Macaca mulatta: one gene and its partners. The protein of the gene in region 2 interacts with the protein of the main gene of each other region in a biochemical or structural test. Links are inferred from orthologs where the notes say so. Each region holds a gene or a part of one and is shown on either strand. Other genes may lie near its edges.

Region 1 (6,097 bases), on a different chromosome or scaffold from region 2:
CCACCTACTCAGAAGGCTGAGGTGGGAGGATCACTTGAGCCCAGGATATCGAGGCCGTGGTGAGCCATGCTCGCGCCACTGTACTTCAGCCTGGGCAACAGAGCAAGACCCTTTCTTTAAAAAAAGGGTGATGGGCCCTAAGACGTTATCTATGCTTTTCCCATTCTCTCTGAACCTGACATGCTCAGGAAAGTATGTCTGTTTGGCCCTGCCATTTCTGTCCAAAACCTTCCAGAGACAAGATGGACAACTAATCCCAGCTAAAACCTTTTAAGACAACATGGTGAGAGGCCCCTTTGAAAGGCCAGAGTTGGAATGTTCCAAGCTAGCATCTATCCAGCTCCCAGTCTCTCTGGCACTATCCATGCCTAGAGGCTATGAGACAGGTTTTTTCCCAACTTTAACTTTTAAAAAAGCTTTCAAAGACCTGGCCAGCCAATCTTCCAAAAGCTCGAACCACAGCCCAGACACCTGAGGCATCCAGGTGGCATGACCACAGTCCACTACTCTGCAAGGAAAAGACTGGGCCCAAATGGTACCGGTACCTTGGTGGAAGCAGACAGAACCAGGTGGAATCCAGGCCTTTGGAGCAGAGGCCAGAGGGCCCACCACTGTCTCTGTAAATGTCAAGAAGCCAGGATATCAAGTACTCCAATGAGGCTAAGCAATGTGGGGCATGGGTGGACTGAACTAATCTCGTCACCTCTTCAAACTTCAGGTTTCTTCTTATCTGGTTTGAACAAGACCATCTGTCAGTGCCCAGCAGTGAGCCGGTAACACTAAGACTTCAAAGTCAGTTTCCCTCTGCTCCACCTCAGGCAAAGTGTCCTCCTTGCTGTCCTCAAATGTGTCAGGCCACCCTGCCTCTAACAGGGCCTTGCTATTCTTGTTGTCTGGAATGTTCTCTCTCCTGTTAACTACATAGCTCACTCCCTCATTTCCTTCAGGTCTCTGCCCAAATGACACCTTCTCAATGAGACTTCCCTGACTGCCCTACTTATAACTGAACTCAGACATCCCTTATCCCCCTTGCCTGCCTTATTTTACAGTAAGCAGCAACCATCACTGGATACACTATATCACTAACTTATTAAACTTTTTCTATTTGTTACCTGTCTGCTCCTACTAGAATGTGTGCTCCACAAGGGCAGGATATTTCTGCTCCAATGAAGATGGGTACTAGCTCTTGCTCCCCTTATCTGTGAAGTACTATAACTGCAGTAGGAAGAGCAAGTGAAGTTCAGAGAGAGTGGGAAAAGCATAGATAACGTCTTAGGGCCCATCACCCTTTAGTCCCTCCAGGAGGTTCTGAGAGTAAGCATTAGGAACAGAGCCTACACCATAGGGCAAAGGGATCTGACTACTCAGGATACCCTCTCACCAGCTCAAAACTCTCCATTGGTTTACCACTGCTTTTCCAAGGAAGATCAAACTGCCCACCAGACCACTCCAGTCAGCCCCTGCCTCCATCTCCCCAGGGGCATCTGGCCGTTGTACTCCACACTTCAGCTGCTATGGACACATTTTTTTTTTCTTTTCAGATGGAGTCTCGCTTTGTTGCCCAGGATGAAGTGCAGTGGCTCAACCTCAGCTCACTGCAACCTCTGCCTCCTGGGTTCAAGTGATTCTCCTGCCTCAGCCTCCCGAGTAACTGGGACTACAGGTGAACGCCACCATGTCTGGCTAATTTTTGCATTTTTAGTAGAGACAGGGTTTCACCACATTGGTCAGGCTGGTTTTGAACTCCTGGCCTCAAGTGATCCGCCTGCCTCGGCCTCCCAAAGTGCTGAGATTACAGGAGTGAGCTATGTCATCTGGCCTGCTATGGACTTAAAAAAATTTTTTTTTGAGACAGTGTCTTGCTCTGTTGCCCAGGATGGAGTACGGTGGCATGATCATGGCTCATACTGTATCCTCAAACTCCTGGGCTCCAGAGAGTGGACTTTCTTGAGGCCAGTGTGTACACAAGTTCCCTCCCACCAGAAGGCATTTACAATTTACACCTCAGCTATTCCTGACCAGGGCAATCTGCCATCCGTCTCTTCTTTTTTTTTTTTTTGAGATGGAGTCTGGCTTTATCACCCAGGCGGGAGTGCAGTGGCAGAGTCTTGGCTCATTGCAACCTCTGCCTCCGGGGTTCAAGCAATTCTAGTGCCTCAGTCACATGAGTAGCCAGGATTACAGGCGTGCACCACCACGCTCGGCTAATTTTTGTATTTTTAGTAGAGACGGGGTTTCACCATGTTGGCCAGGCTGGTCTCGAACTCCTGACCTCAAGTAATCCACCCACCTCAGCCTCCCTAAGTGCTGGGATTACAGGCGTGAGCTACCGTGCCCGGCCCATCCCTCTCATTCTTAACACTTATTGTAGTGCTAAGTATATAGTTGCTTTTGTGATTCTTTGATTTGTCTACCTTACTAGAGTGTAAGCTCCAGGAGAGCCGGGAGACGGTGCTCACCATCACTTCGTACTGCTCGTTTATCCATTTCACATGGTTTTTGGTGCCCATGAACCAGACACCATTCGAACACCAGGAAGCGCCCCGAGTACCGGATTAATCAACCAAGTAAGAAATGACTGTACCACGAGTTCGACTCCCAAAGCTGTTCGTCTCAGTACAGGCAATCGCTAAAGGCCTCAGTTCCAGCTCAACTAAGGGGCTGTGGGGTCCCTTCTCCAGGCGCTCCCCCGAGGGGCTGGTTGCAATCCACTCCCGAGACTCGCAGAAACCTCCTCGTCCCGGGGGGGCCGCGCTGCGCCTAGCCACGTGGCGAGAGACTTAGGAAACTTAAAACACCCGCTACCAGGAAGGGGGTGGAGGTAAGGGACGCGGGAATTACAAAGTTCGGCCCCTGCGAGCACACTTTCTGGCCCAACCCACTGCACAGATGAGGAAAGTGAGGCCCAGGGGAACTGAAGTCGCAGTGGGGAGGCAGAGATTGCGGCTCCTCTGGAACCCCTGGCCCGCGCAGTCGAGCACTGCGGGACCCGGCTCCAGGCGCCCGCCGGGTCGCCTGGGGACGGGGCGCGGGCCTCTGATCTCCACATCTTGCACGCGGCCCTCGCACACGGCCCACGAACGTTTACCTGGCCGCTCTGCTCCTTCACTTCCCGCGCCGCACGCACATAGCCAGCCCGCAGCAGATGGTGGTAGATCAGGGGAAGTAGCTCCCGCCGCTTCCTGGCCTCGGCCATGCCCGCGACCCCCGGACAGCCGGCTACCTGCACGCCCCGCCTTAGTCCCCGCCTGCCACTTCCCTCGCGCCCTAAGACCTCGCGCGCCCCACTTCCGGCTCCTCTTTGGCTCCGGCCGCGCGGCGCGCCGGGAAACGTAGTCTCCTCTCCAGGAGTGGCCGGCCCCGCCCCTCAAAGCGAAAGGGGCGGAGACTCGTGGGCAACAAGACCGCCCATTGGCGCTGAGCAGGCGGGGCTAGACAGGGACCCGCCCCCGGGCCCGGCCGTGACATGGATGACTCTTTTAATCTTTCCGGCTGGCTCCTTGAAGAGATTTGTCTTCCTTGTTAATTCTCTGATGGCTGGGTCTGCGTTTTACTCGTCTCTGAACTCCCTAATCTGGATCTTTCTCTAGATCCGAACTTCGTACTGCCATTATCTGCTCGTTTATCCATTTCACACGGTTTTTGGTGCCCATGAACCAGACACGAGTTGTCAGGTTATTCATTCATTCATTCGCTAATTAAACGAATCTGTAGTAAGCACTGTAACTTGGGCTAGCACCGGGCTAGGCTAGGGGGATTCAGAAGATGCATAATACATGGCGGTTGCCCTCAAAGCTCACAGAGACTACTGTCCGTAACCAAGCAACTATAGTTCAATATCTGGTGTGCATTGTCAGCGACAGATGCGGCCTATGGGCGCCCCAAGGAGGGGCACCAAACCCCAGAGAGATATCTAAGCTGAGGCATAAAGACACCTGAAATTGCTGGGTGCAAAGGAGAGGACTGGCAGAGGGTACTGCTTGAGTCTAGGCATGAGAAAACACCCTGCTATTGCCTGGGAACCCTAAACCCAGAACTCCCAGTCTGCGCTGCTGGGCTGTCGAGGTGGGGTGGGGTGGGGTGGGGAAGAGGGAACAAATGAGGGCCCATGAGGATGAAGAAGTAGACAAGGTCTGCCACACCACCACCCCGAACGGAGTCTGGACTTTGCTCTGAGGGCATTAGATAGTCTCTGACTGGCTTTTCAAAGGAGGTTGACCTTGTTTTGTGTTTTTAAAAGATTGCTAAAACCAAAGCACATACTATTAATACTAAATGTGAGGCTGTTGTAGTTGTTAAGGGAAGGTTGGCAGGGAAAAGGTGAGGTAGGCTGGAGAATGTTAGAGTCAGTTGTTCTTAACTTCGTGGACCCATTGAGAATCTGATGGCAGCATGTTTCTTACCAGTGCAGGAGTCCCTAACCCTAGGAGGTCCAGGTATGTGCTTATGTTTGTCTTGAACTTGAATGGAAAATGTTATGTGTCTGTACACATTCAACATTTCCGATTTTCTTGAGCAAATATTTATTGAGCACCTACCATCGGGGATGGAATAGTCTCTACTCCTATAGAGCTTACAGTCTAATGGAGGAGACTAATAGTCATACAATACAGTGTTACAAACAGCGGGTAGGTGCCGGAAGGAAAAAGATAGTGTTTTCTTATGTAATAATATAGTGTTTAAAAGCTGCACTGGAGTCACACTGCCTGGGTTCAAATTCTGGCTTTGCCTCATTAGGTGACTTTGGGCAAGTTACATAACTTCGCTGTGACTCAGTTTCTTTATCTGTACAATGGAGATAATTATAATTTCTACCTCATTGGGTTGTCATAAGGAGTAAATGAATTCTCAGCAGAAATGCTTGGAGGAGCTCTGAACAATAGCACTCTGTGTGTGCGTGTGTGCTATTATTGTGAAAGCATATAACAGGAAGGAAGGATCTATTTTTTTCTTGGGAGTTAGGGAAGGATTCCCTGAGAAATTGATGGTTATGAGGAAACCAGAACTATGTGTAAGGGAGAGTCGGGGAGAAGAAACCTGAGCAGAGGGAAGAACCTGTGCAAAGGGCCTAGGGCAGAAGGTACAGCTGAGAGAATAGACAAGAAAAGGCCTTTGTAGCATGGCCCAGAGGGAGAGCAGGGGAACTGGGGAGTGTAGAAGGTGGGCAGAGGGCAGACTCCATGTGAAGGACTGGGCACATCAGGTTTTTTTTCTCCATCCTAAGAGCCATTGGAAGCCACTGACGGTGTAAGCCCAAGAGGTACAGGATGAAATCTGAATTTTACTGTGACCTGTGTGCCTGCCCAGTGGAGAGTGGAGTGTGTCTGGTGGGTATGAGTAGATGTGGGAAGACAAGCCAGGGTTAGGAGTGCAGGCAGGCATCCAGGGAGAAGACAGTATGTGTGTCGGGGGCGGGGGAGGGGGTGAAGTGGTAGGGGAGGGGGTGGGGGGGCAGGGTGGGGGGGTGCTGGTGGCAGTGGAGTTGGAGAGCAGTGGAAGGTTCCCAGAGTTAATCAGGAACTAAAGTTGTCACAGAGGTGTGTTGGAATGTGAGGGGAAGGAAGAGGCAATGTCAGAATGGACCTTGAGGTTTCTGTGCAAACAAGTAGGCAGTATCTTTCACTGAGATAGAAAAAACTGGAAGAGGATTGAGACGGGGGTGGTTTGATTGAGGAGAGGAGGATGTGGACAGAGAGGTGAAAGTATATATTCTACATTAGACATCTTGAGCTTGAAATGCCTTACAGTCACCATGTGCAGATGTTGAGAAGGTTCTTGGAAACCTGGGTTTGGACGTGGCGTGGAGGTCTGGGCTAGAGATGAAGATGAGAAGTTGTCGATAGAGAGATGATAACTGCGGCTGTGGATGAGGAGAAGCTTGCCCAGGGCGAAGAATGTGGAGAGAGAAGAGAGATGGCCCAGGACGAATGTTTGAGGTACATCTACAGATTAGGGCTGTGTACACAAGGATCTCCTGCAAAGGCTGATCAGGAGTGGCTGGACAGGCTGGAGAAAGCCCAGGAGAGTGGGCTTATGGAAGGAGGCCAAGGGAGACATTTTAGGAAGCTGTGAAGACTTGATGGAGGGAAATGCTCTG
Region 2 (5,381 bases):
AAGTACAGTAAAATTATGCTATCATAATCTTATAGGACCACCATTGTGTATGTGATCCATCACAGACCAAAACATTACATGGCACATGACTGTATATCCTCATAGAAGCTGCTCCTTTTCCTTAAGTAGTAGTGTGAGAAAAACATCAATTGAAGGACACATATGAAGAATAAGGATGTTGCTATTATCTACACTGCATTAAACATTCAAGCAACTAAAATATGTAAGAAACCAAATAAAAGGAAAATACTAGTTATCACAAATCAGAGCCTTGAATCAAATGTCTTATTTACTCTGACTCAGTCACTCTACCTCTACTGTATTTTTGTCAAAGTAGTCCTTAACAGTTAAAAAAACAAACAAACAAACAAAAAACACTACATATATCAGACAGTCCCACTTAAAATGGCAAACCAAAAAAAAGTGACATCTCAAAGTTTTCCGGTGAAAACAATTGAAAATGTATTATGAAAGGCAACATAAACAGCAGTGAAGGTGAAACTTAAAGACTATACTTCCAAACTCTTTGTAATTAAGTTTCATAACTTTTGCAATAATAAGGCTTATATAAAACTCTTTGGTAACTAAATAGTATAACTTAATTAATGCTTTGTTCCTTTTTCTCTTTCAAACTAATCCAGTAAATTCCATCAACACCAGTTGCTACATCTCAATGTAACTCAAGAGCAAAAACAGCCATGTAACAACCTTGCTATTTATTTCAAGTCCTACAAAGTACTCTGAAATAGTTATCCCAAACTGCCGAACTACTATTTATTAAAGAATGTTTTCAAAAATAGTTATTCTACATGATATCAAGACACAAAATCATTAAAAAGTATAGGATTATTTTAGTAACTTAACAATACCTGCCTTTTTTAAATTCAAGAGTTTATTTTCTTTATAGCTCTTTACAGAACAGACTGTTCCAATAGTTTGATAAGGAAGCTGGAGGTATTCCTCAATTAACAGGAACACAACTGTTTCAGTATAATTAAGTAAACCACCGCTTGATGTGTTACCCTTCCATGAAAAACTGAATCACTCAGGCACCTACCCTGTAAAACATAGATCTTCTCTTTGTACTCCACAGCATTATGAAATTCCATTGCAACTGGCATTGCGCAAACAGTCGTCCAGCAATTCTCTCTACTGTCGTAGCACTCAACAGATTTTAGTGAGTTTCTCCCATCACCTTCATAAACACGACCTCCGATTGCATACATTTTACCACAGCAGTAGACAAGTTTGCAGCCTATTCTAGCTCGAAGCAAGGATGGTTTGGATAGCCATCTATTGGTGGAATGATCATACATCCAGAAATCATTTTCTGCCTTATGGTCGATGGAGACCTCACTGCTGCTTGGCCTGTACCCTCCTGCAATGTAAATGTCATTATCTGGTGATACAAGAATCCCAACTTCTCTCAGGTCATTTGGTGGTTTGCATAGTTTAAACACCTTTCCTGTGACTATATCTAGACAAGGCACTGTTTGCTTCTTTCCTGAGTGTTTGTGGGCAGCATCAAAACATATGATCATTTCAGAAGCAGTCATTCCAAGCCTCTGTGTACAACCATTGGTGTTGGATGGTCCCTTTTCTACACAGCTTTTGGCTACAGCCTGTGCAAACTGAGGTGGAATTTTCTCTATGAAGGTATCTTCCATCAGAGGAAAACGTATGCATTTAGCAAAAATTTCTGGAAGGTGCACTTCTCGTTCATTTTGTTCATGTTCAAACCACCTTATAATGCTTTCATAAACATGCTCTTCTCGGTCTACATTTAAATCATCACTGTCTAATATACTTATCAGCTGGTCTTTTGTCAACTGGAGAAACTCTTGTTCTTTGGTGACACACAGAAACTTTTTACGGATGTATTCTTTTGATCGATCTCCGAGTTCCTGATGACCATAATGATCAGCAAAGATAAAGACCCCAATAGAATTCTGTGGGTCCAAATGACTGATCATATACTGAGCACATTGGTCTTGGATGGAAGGAATCTGGAAGATGCTAGCTGCAGTGAACAAGGCTTGAACATTGGCCTCTGTGAGAATAACTCTGGAGGTATAGGCATAGTTCAACACTAAATCCATCGATTCAGCTTCAACACCGACTATTCGAACTTCTTTTTGAGTACTTTCTGTAAGGCCGCTAGTGAACATGGATCTAAGAAGGAAAGAGTGGTTAATATTACATGTGTGCTATAAATCAAAATTATTGTGGCAAGATTTTAAAAGTACAAAGTTACCACAAAGATAACCTTTTGAAACTGAATATTTCCTAAAATAGTCCCTGATATTCTGAATAGGAGTAAAAATTGATAATGTATCAGAAAGATTTAGTCTGGCTAACCTCAAAACCCGTACTCTCAGGGCTAGCCCGCTTTGTGCCAACTATGAAAAAAGGAGAGTCACCTAAGTAAATGCAAATCAAAAGGTGACACACATATTCCAGGTCACTTTATTTTCCTAGAAGCCCCTATCCAGAGTTGCCTTAGGGACATCAGATCTTAAATTGTGCCATGCCAGTCAGAAAGCTTAAGAATACTGGCCCGGTATGGTGGCTCACGCCTGTAATCCCAGTACTTCAGGGGGCCCAGGTGGGTGGATCACAAGAGGTCAGGAGTTCAAAACCTGCCCGGCCAAGGTGATGAAACCCCATCTCTACTAAACTAAAAAATTAGCCGGGCGTGGTGGCACACACTGTAATCCCAGCTACTCAGGAGGCAGGCGGAGGTTGCGGTGAGCTGAGTGCCAGCCTGGAAGACAGAATGAGACTCCATCTCAAAAAAAAAAAAAAACCTATAAAGGTATCATCATGATACATTAGTATACAAAGAAACAACCTAATAAAACTTTTCGTGTCCTGGTGAAAATTACAAGGCAACTTGTATCCAAAATATATCTTTAAAATGTTCCTCTTAAAAAAGCAAGAAGTTCTTTAAAAGTACATATTCTCCACCTACTCTTTTTTAAAACTGTTATCTTTTGAATGCTTCCTTAACCATTATAAGTAATATAATAACCACTTCACTTACCCTTGGAAATTTTGAGAACATTTGCTTAAAAGGAAATACTTCATTTTCTCAAAGATACCGTATTTTACCTATCTAAATCTAGACATAAATAAAGATTATGGTAGAGTCAATATATAATGCCTCTTTTAAACAGAGTTTAATAGTTAACCGATTATTTGAAGATAATGGTTTTTAAAACCCCAAACTTTTACCTTTGAGACCAAGTTGGTTTTTTCTATTATTAAAATATTATTGCATTTATGGGATTTTCTTGACTGAAACATTACACAGCCTGGCTCTTTAAGTATTAGTCACTTGCAAACATCATTTGCCTTTATTTTCCCTCCTTTAAAGTTTCATTCTAGATGATCCAGACCCATCGTATTTAATTTTTGTGATGTTATAAAAAATGAATTGCAAAGATTTCCAGTCACTTAAAAAATATGTCTCAAATTCACGGAATTTATTTTAAAATGCAGTATGAGAAACACTGGAGGTACAAGGATTCAACTTGCTGCCCAGGTTAATCATCTTCGAGTCCTGGTTTTACTTCTACAATGTACCTTTTAATTTAGTATGACACAGGCTTTTTTGATGACTAAAAACTAGATGTTCCTATGTATGTGCTGGTTTTCAATTCAGGTGCTGCAAGACTCACCTATACAGCTACCAATTAAAAAGAAAAATAAAGCCCTGTGTTAGGGAGAGATGAACTCCCAAAGGAGGATATACCACATATCCCTTTATCATGGGAACTACTGTTGACTTGAATAGGCTCGTCTTACACACAGGAGTGGTCTGACACTTCATGAGTTTTCCTCTCCTCTAGAGTAAGTTCTTCATGTAAACTCAACATAAATGAAGCCAGGGCACTTCCTTACACAAAATCCAGAGTAGCAAAAAATTTCTAATGATCATACAAATTTCAGTTTTGATGAGTTACTGGTATCATGAAACAGCCATTCCAGATTTCCAGCTATTCTAATTCTTCCACTAGTGATGCAAGACATAGAAACATTAAGTATGACTTTCTACATCCCACACAGGAAGCAGCGCTGGTACCAAGAAACTTCGGTACAAAAACCTCTAGCAAGAGATCAAATTATAATCCATGAGTTTTCCAGCCAAATATCTTTATTTCAATGCACATATCGTACCGCAGAAAATTTCTCAAGTATTTTTTACTCTTTTTTAAAATTAACTTAATAAAATTAAAGAATTTAAGATGTTAAGGAATCAAGAAAATCAGGAATCTATCATAGCATACCTCTTTTAAAGTAAAATTTTTTTCTAGGTCTTCAAAAATGAAAAATGAAACTTCAAAGTGAAAATGTCATACTTATGTAAACTTACTAAGTATACTTATTAAGTACAGTGCTTAATAAGTATACTTAGTATGTATACATATGTCATACTTATGTATGCTTACTAAGTATTATACTTAATAAGTATTCTATCATTTTAATGTCATACATACATTAAGTATAACACTTAGTAAGCATACATAAGTATGACATTTAAATGATAGAATCCAGATTATTAAATTTCAGTAAGATACAGACATTTTTACTTTGTATTTTTTGTTTTGTTTTGTTGGCTTTTTTTTACTATTCAAATGCAATATACAATAAAAATGTTTTAAAGGAAACTTTAAAAAGGACCTAGTGTACCCACTCTTGTTCCTTAAGAGTCATATGGCGACCAAGAAGCCTGGCTCTGGAATCAAATGTAGCCTCTGCCATTTACTTGTTGGATAGATGATTTAGGCAGGTTATTAAAACGTAATCTCACGGAGCCTCAGCTTCTTCATAAGTAAAATGGCACAACAACTATGCAGAGATAGGATTATAAAGATTATATAAGGCAATACATGACCTAACCATATCTAATAGATAATCTGGGTAAGTGAATCTCACCGAAGTTTCCATTACCAGGCCAAACTTCATACCTTCTGCATATGTGAAGTTGTTTTGTTTTGTTTTGTTTTGTTTTTTCCAGCTCACTGTCTTGCGATGATTAATACTTAGTAGTCCAATGACCTACCCTAGGCAAGTCTAAATGGTTACATCAGAAGCATCAGACTGAAGTGACTATATTTAACCCAGTATTCTGAGAAAGAGGAACCAGAAACTACTGTTGGAACATTACACAGTTATGTGCCCTATAAACATAAGCACCTTCAAAAGGAAAAATCACATTCAGGGTGTGGTTGATAACTTGACTATTATTTATGCACCACTTGTGAATACTGAAAGGCTTAAAGTGAGCATTAGACACAAAAGAAGTTAACCCCAAGCAGAAAGTTGCCTTTTCCACGAATCTTAAAGTAGGAAGTTATTTTTCAGACCCAAGTTTTTAA
Region 3 (6,029 bases), on a different chromosome or scaffold from region 2:
TGAGACCTCCATCTCTCTCTCTTTTTTTTTTTTTGAGACTGAGTTTCGCTCTTGGTCGCCCAAGCTGGAGTGCAATGGCACTGCCATGGCTCGGCCTGTGGTGGCTAAACGCCTGTAATCTCAACACTTTGTGAGGCTGAGGCGGGTGGATCACCTGAGATCGGGAGTTGGAGACCAGCCTAACCAACATGGAGAAACCCCGTCTCTACTAAAAATACAAAATTAGCCAAGCGTGGTGGCACATGCTTGTAATAATCCCAGCTACTTGGGAGGCCAATGCAGGAGAATCGCTTGAACCTGGGAGGTGGAGGTTATGGTGAGTTGAGATTGCACCATTGCACTCCAGCCTGGGCAACAAGAGCGAAACTCTGTCTCAAAAAAAAAAAAAAAAAAAAAAAAAAATTAGCCAGCTGTGGTGGCACATGTCTGTAGTCCTAGCTACTCCAGTGACTGAGGCAGGAGGATTGCCTGAGCCCAGGGGTTCAAGGCTACAGTGAGCTATCACTGCATCACTGTACTCCAGCCTGGGCAACAGAGTGAGACCCTCTAAAAGAAACACACACACACAAAACAATACACATAAGAGTATAGGATCAGGCCAGGCGCAGTGGCTCACGCCTGTAATCCCAACACTTTGGGAGGCCAAGATGGGCAGATCACCTGATCAGGAATTTGAGACCAGCCTGGCCAGTATGGTGAAACCCCATCTCTACTAATGATACAAACATTAGCTGGGCGTGGTGGTGGGCGCCTGTAATCCCAGCTATCCAGGAGGCTGAGGCATAAGAATCACTTGAACCTGAGAGGCGAAGGTTGGGGTGAGCTGAGATTGCACCACTGCACTGCCACCTGGGCAACAGAGTGAGACTCTGGGGTACAAAAAAGAGTAAAGGACCAGAGTCAGGACACATGGGAACTCACCTTTGGACAAATTACTTAGTCTCCCTGAGATTATTTTATTCTCTATAAAATGGAGATAATACTACACATCTCATTAAGTTATTGAGAGGATAAGACATAATGCATGTTGGCCGTGTGCAGTGGCTCACACCTATAATCCCAGCACTTTGGGAGGCCCAGGTGGTGGATTTCTTGAGGTCAGGAGTTCAAAAGCAGCCTGGCCAACATGGTGAAACCCCGTCTCTATTAAAAATACAAAAAAAAAAAAAAAAATTAGCTGGGCTTGGTGGGGCACACCTGTAGGCCCAGCTACTTGGGAAGCTGAGGCAGGAGAATCACTTCAGCAGAGGTTGCAGCGAGCTGAGATCATGCCACTGCACTCCAGCATGGCGACAGAGCCAGACTCCGCCTCAAAAAAAAAAAAAAAAAAAAAAAAAAAATTAAATGCATGTAAAGGGCTTAGCTCCTGACCCTTAGTAAACTCTTCACAAAGATTAGCTTTTCTCACATAAAACCATTTCAGAATCCTAATTCTGAGGCCAGGCACGGTGTCTCACGCCTGTAATCCCAGCACTTTGGGAGGCCGAGGCGGGCGAATTTCTTGAGGTCAAGAGTTCAAGACCAGCCTGGTCAACATGGTGAAACCCTGTCTCTAGTAAAAATAAAAAAATTAGCCGGGCGTGGCAGTGCGCGCCTATAATCCCAGCTACTCGGGAGGCTGAGGCAGGAGAATCTCTTGAATTTAGGAGGCGGAGGTTACAATGAGCCGAGATCGCACCATTGCACTCCAGCCTGGGCAACTGCACTCCAGACTGGGCAAGAGACTCCGTCTCAAAAAAAAAACAAAAAAAAAGAATCCTAATTCTGAAATGTCCAATTCCATTCAGTCCACTGTGAAAGTCCTCTCTGCAGTCTCCTTAACAGTCAACTCTAAACAGTTTCATTAAGAAAGCAGTTAGATCACATGGCAGCATGTCCCAGCTTAAGGAAGTTCTGAAGCTGATCTGATTCTTTTGCTTTTGCAGCCTGATTCTGCTAAAAGTGCAAGCCGGCCGGGCGCGGTGGCTCCAGCCTGTAATCCCAGCACTTTGGGAGGCCGAGACGGGCGGATCACGAGGTCAGGAGATCGAGACCATCTTGGCTGACACGGTGAAACCCCGTCTCTACTTTAAAAAATACAAAAAACTAGCCGGGCGAGGTGGCGGCACCTGTAGTCCCAGCTACTCGGGAGGCTGAGGCAGGAGAATGGCGTGAACCCGGGAGGCGGAGCTTGCAGTGAGCTGAGATCCGGCCACTGCACTCCAGGCGGCAGAGCGAGCGAGACTCGTCTCAAAAAAAAAAAAAAAAAAAAGTGCAAGCCATCCTTTCTAGTCATGCTATCATCCCTGCAGAAGACCTCCTCTCTCTCCTCCCTCAAGGTCTCTTCCCATGCAGGGATGTCTGTTGATGTGAAAGATTACAAACCTTTCCCATTCCTGGTTCTCTTACTCTCACATGTGTTTGGAGCATCCTAAATTGCCATCATTATGGTACAGCTTTAACTTCTACAAGATTCCTCTGCACCAGCACTGAGATTGCTACTCTTACACATCATCTTACTGAAATTCACAAAAATCCTATAAAGTGGATGATGACATCCCTGTAGAAAGACTCAGAGAGGTTAAATAAACTGCCCGGGTCACGTATCTAAAAAGTGACAGAGCCTGGTCCCAAACCTAGGTTTGTTTGATTGCATTAGCCAAAGCTCCAAGCCCACTACTATGCCTGCTTGGTAGGGCTGTTTATGATGCTCAATTCTCATTAGTGTAACTCAAAACAAAACTCTGCTTCTACTTTCATTCATTTTCTTCTTTACTAACGACAATCCCGGCCTTCATTCTAAAGCAATTTCACTTGCTTTTGAAGCCCAGTAAATGTAACTGAGGGTAAGGTCAAATCGCGGTTTGCCTCATCCAACGAAAAGCACCCCAGAAGAAACAGATGCCGAAGAACCAACGTCCTCAGTGGGACAAGGCTCTAGCTCCCCGCTGCACTCTGCCAGCCATGTGACTTCGGGCCACGAGGCTCCCACGCTGCCGCCACTGCACGGCTCCACAAGAAAAAAAACAACAAGACTCAGCGATATCTAGTCAGAACTGCGGGAAGAGGAGCGACCGAGGCCGCAGGCTTTCTCTGACCACTGCCCAGGGGTCGGCGTAAAGGCCTTGCAGACACTGAACTGGCGGACCCCACAGACTTCCCCACCTGGAAACCTAAGCACGTCAGGGCCTGAAGCTTTGTGGTCATCTCAGCCCGGTCCCCACGCCAAGCCCGGAACTCACAGCTCCTGTCGCTTTGGCGAACTTATTGGCCACCTCCGAGAGTTGGTTATCGCGGAGGAAGCCGAGCACGAGGGGATACAGGTCGCTAGGAACCACGCGGCGCAAGCCGGCGTCCGCCATCCTCCGGGCAATACGCGTCACTACCGTTGTCGACGCAGCACGACTCAGGAACCCAACAGGGGCAGTGGGCGGGCCCGTGTACGTCATTGCGCCGCGCGGGCGCATAGCGGAAAGGGCGGGGCTCCACAGGACAGTCCCACCTCCACCTCAGAGGTAGGGTAGACGGGAAATCTATAAACTCTTTCCGGTCCCACGTGTATCGCCATCTTGGTTAAGGGCGGAGCCCACTGGCCGCCAGTTTGTGGAGGTGGAGCTCTGACGTCAAGGGTCACGCCCTCGGCGTGGCGGGAAACTCGGGACTTCCCGCGCTGTCTTTCTGGGGGAGGTACCTTTTCTCAGAGCAGCGGTTTCCCGCGCCCCTGCTGGGATTCGGATTCCAGAGTAATGAGTGGACAAGCGGGCTCGAACAGTCCCGTTCTAGACTTGGTCTACAAGATCTCCCAACCGCCCCCACTGGCGCACTGGCGCGGCCAATGGATTCTCGCCCTTCATCTTCATTGCCTCCAACACCCAGGGAGGCCCTTTCTGATACTATCCCAGCCTCCAGACTCCTGCCTCTGCTGCAGAGGCTCCTTCAAGTTATCCGTCGTGAGGGTGGGAGGTGTTGTTCAGAGGATCCTTCAAGTTATCAGTCGTCCAGAGGATCCTTCAAGTTATCAGTCGTGAGGGTGGCAGGTGTTGATTTCCAAGCCGCCCCTCCCATTCCCCTTATATTCCGCCTTAGGTCAGCTCCATGAAGAGGAAAGATGTCTTGCACTAAACCTGAATAGCCCTTCTTTCTCCAGGGTCAGAGTTGCTCCCTTTGTCATGAGTAACTCCAATATCAATGCTCACATCTACCAAGTTAATTCCAAGTTCTGCCACATTTCAGATCATATTAGCAGTTAGCAATCGCTTCGATCCTACCCACTACCCCTTGGCTACCTCCCACTAATGCCGCTCAAGAAGGATAAGGATTCTCATGGAACACACCTCTCCTTTGCCTTTCTCCAGACACTCCCCTCTCCTGTATAAAACTGGCCAGGCACAGTGGCTCACACCTGTTATCTCAACACTTTGGAAGGCCAAGATGGGAGGATCCCTTAAGCCCAGGAGTTAGAGGTCAGCCTGGACAACATAGTGAAACCCCCCTCTCTCTACAAATTTTAAAGATTAGCCAGGTGTAGTGGCACGCACCTGTGTCCCAGCTACTTGGGAGGCTGGGGCGGGAGGATCGACTGAGCCAGGGAGGTCAAAGCTGCAATGAGCTATGATCCTGCCACTGCAACCCAGCCTGGGCCACAGAGTGAGATCCTATCTCAAAAATCAAAAACAAAGCCAGGCATGGTGGTTCACGCCTGTAATCTCAGCACTTTGGGAGGCCAAGGTGGGTGGATCACCTGAGGTCAGGAGTTCAAGAACAGCTCTGGCCAACACGGTGAAACCCTTTCTCTACTAAAAATACAAAAAAATTAGCCAGGCATGGTGACAGGTGCCTGTAGTCCCAGCTACTCAGGAAGCTGAGGCAGGAGAATCATTTGAACCCACAAGGTAGAGGTTGCAGTGAGCCAAAATTGTGCCACTGCACTCCAGCCTGGGAGACAGAACAAGACTCCATTCCAGAAACAAAAAAAAAGGCAAAAAAAAAAAAAAAACAACCTCCACAGTTCCCTCTTCCCCATGCTTCCTATTCTACCCACATGCATACATTATTATTATTTCTTTTTTTTTGAGACAGACTCTCGCTCTGTCACCCAGGCTGGAGTGCAGCGGCACAATCTGGGCTCACTGCAAGCTCCGCCTCCTGGGTTCATGCCATTCTCTTGCCTCAGCCTCCCAAGTAGCTAGGACTACAGGCAACCGCCACCACACCTGGCCAATTTTTTTTTTTTTTTTTTTTTTTTTTTTGAGATGGAGTCTCACGCTGTTGCCCAGGCTGGAGTGCAGTGGCGCGATCTCGGCTCACTGCAAGCTCCGCCTCCCGGGTTCCCGCCATTCTCCTGCCTCAGCCTCCTGAGTAGCTGGGACTACAGGCACCTGTCACCATGCCTGGCTAATTTTTTTGTATTTTTAGTAGAGACGGGGTTTCACTGTGGTCTCGATCTCCTGACCTTGTGATCCGCCCGCCTCGGCCTCCCAAAGTGCTGGGATTACAGGCGTGAGCCACCGCGCCCGGCCTTTTTTTTTTTTTTTTGATACGGAGTCTCACTCTGTCGCCCAGGCCGGAGTGCAGTGGCCAGATCTCAGCTCACTGCAAGCTCCGCCTCCCGGGTTTACGCCATTCTCCCGCCTCAGCCTCCCGAGTAGCTGGGACTACAGGCGCCCACCACCTCGCCCGACTAGTTTTTTTTTTGTGTGTGTGTTTTTAGTAGAGATGGGGTTTCACCGTGTTAGCCAGGATGGTCTCCATCTCCTGACCTCGTGATCCGCCCGCCTCGGCCTCCCAAAGTGCTGGGATTACAGGCTTGAGCTACCGCGCCCGGCCCAATATTTTGTACTTTCAGTAGAGACACGGTTTCACCATGTTGGCCAGGATGGTCTCCATCTCCTGACCTCGTGATTCACCCGCCTCTGCCTCCCAAAGTGCTGGGATTACAGGCCTGAGCCACCGCGCCCGACATGCATTATTTAAAACATCTGAGCACCTGTTGTGCCATGCAGTGTGCTCAAACTATTATAAAATGAACATAACTGACATGATGAATGTAT

The links.
Region 1: the proteins of KBTBD8 (region 2) and TCOF1 form a complex in vitro, tested with the Homo sapiens proteins (2 studies listed by BioGRID, with this or other methods). The link is inferred for Macaca mulatta from reciprocal best matches to the Homo sapiens genes KBTBD8 and TCOF1.
Region 3: the proteins of KBTBD8 (region 2) and NOLC1 form a complex in vitro, tested with the Homo sapiens proteins (2 studies listed by BioGRID). The link is inferred for Macaca mulatta from reciprocal best matches to the Homo sapiens genes KBTBD8 and NOLC1.

The regions. Positions count from the first base shown.
Region 1 is NC_133411.1:159,323,399-159,329,495, reverse strand, and holds the start of TCOF1 (treacle protein), read right to left. Parts: upstream 3,364-6,097; 5' UTR 3,197-3,363; coding exon 3,089-3,196; intron 1-3,088.
Region 2 is NC_133407.1:130,547,991-130,553,371, reverse strand, and holds part of KBTBD8 (kelch repeat and BTB domain-containing protein 8), read right to left. Parts: intron 2,173-5,381; coding exon 1,058-2,172; intron 1-1,057. UniProt on the Homo sapiens protein: Substrate-specific adapter of a BCR (BTB-CUL3-RBX1) E3 ubiquitin ligase complex that acts as a regulator of neural crest specification.
Region 3 is NC_133414.1:114,258,400-114,264,428, reverse strand, and holds the start of NOLC1 (nucleolar and coiled-body phosphoprotein 1), read right to left. Parts: upstream 3,364-6,029; 5' UTR 3,342-3,363; coding exon 3,222-3,341; exon of another isoform or gene 3,187-3,221; coding exon of another isoform or gene 3,145-3,186; intron 1-3,144. UniProt on the Homo sapiens protein: Nucleolar protein that acts as a regulator of RNA polymerase I by connecting RNA polymerase I with enzymes responsible for ribosomal processing and modification.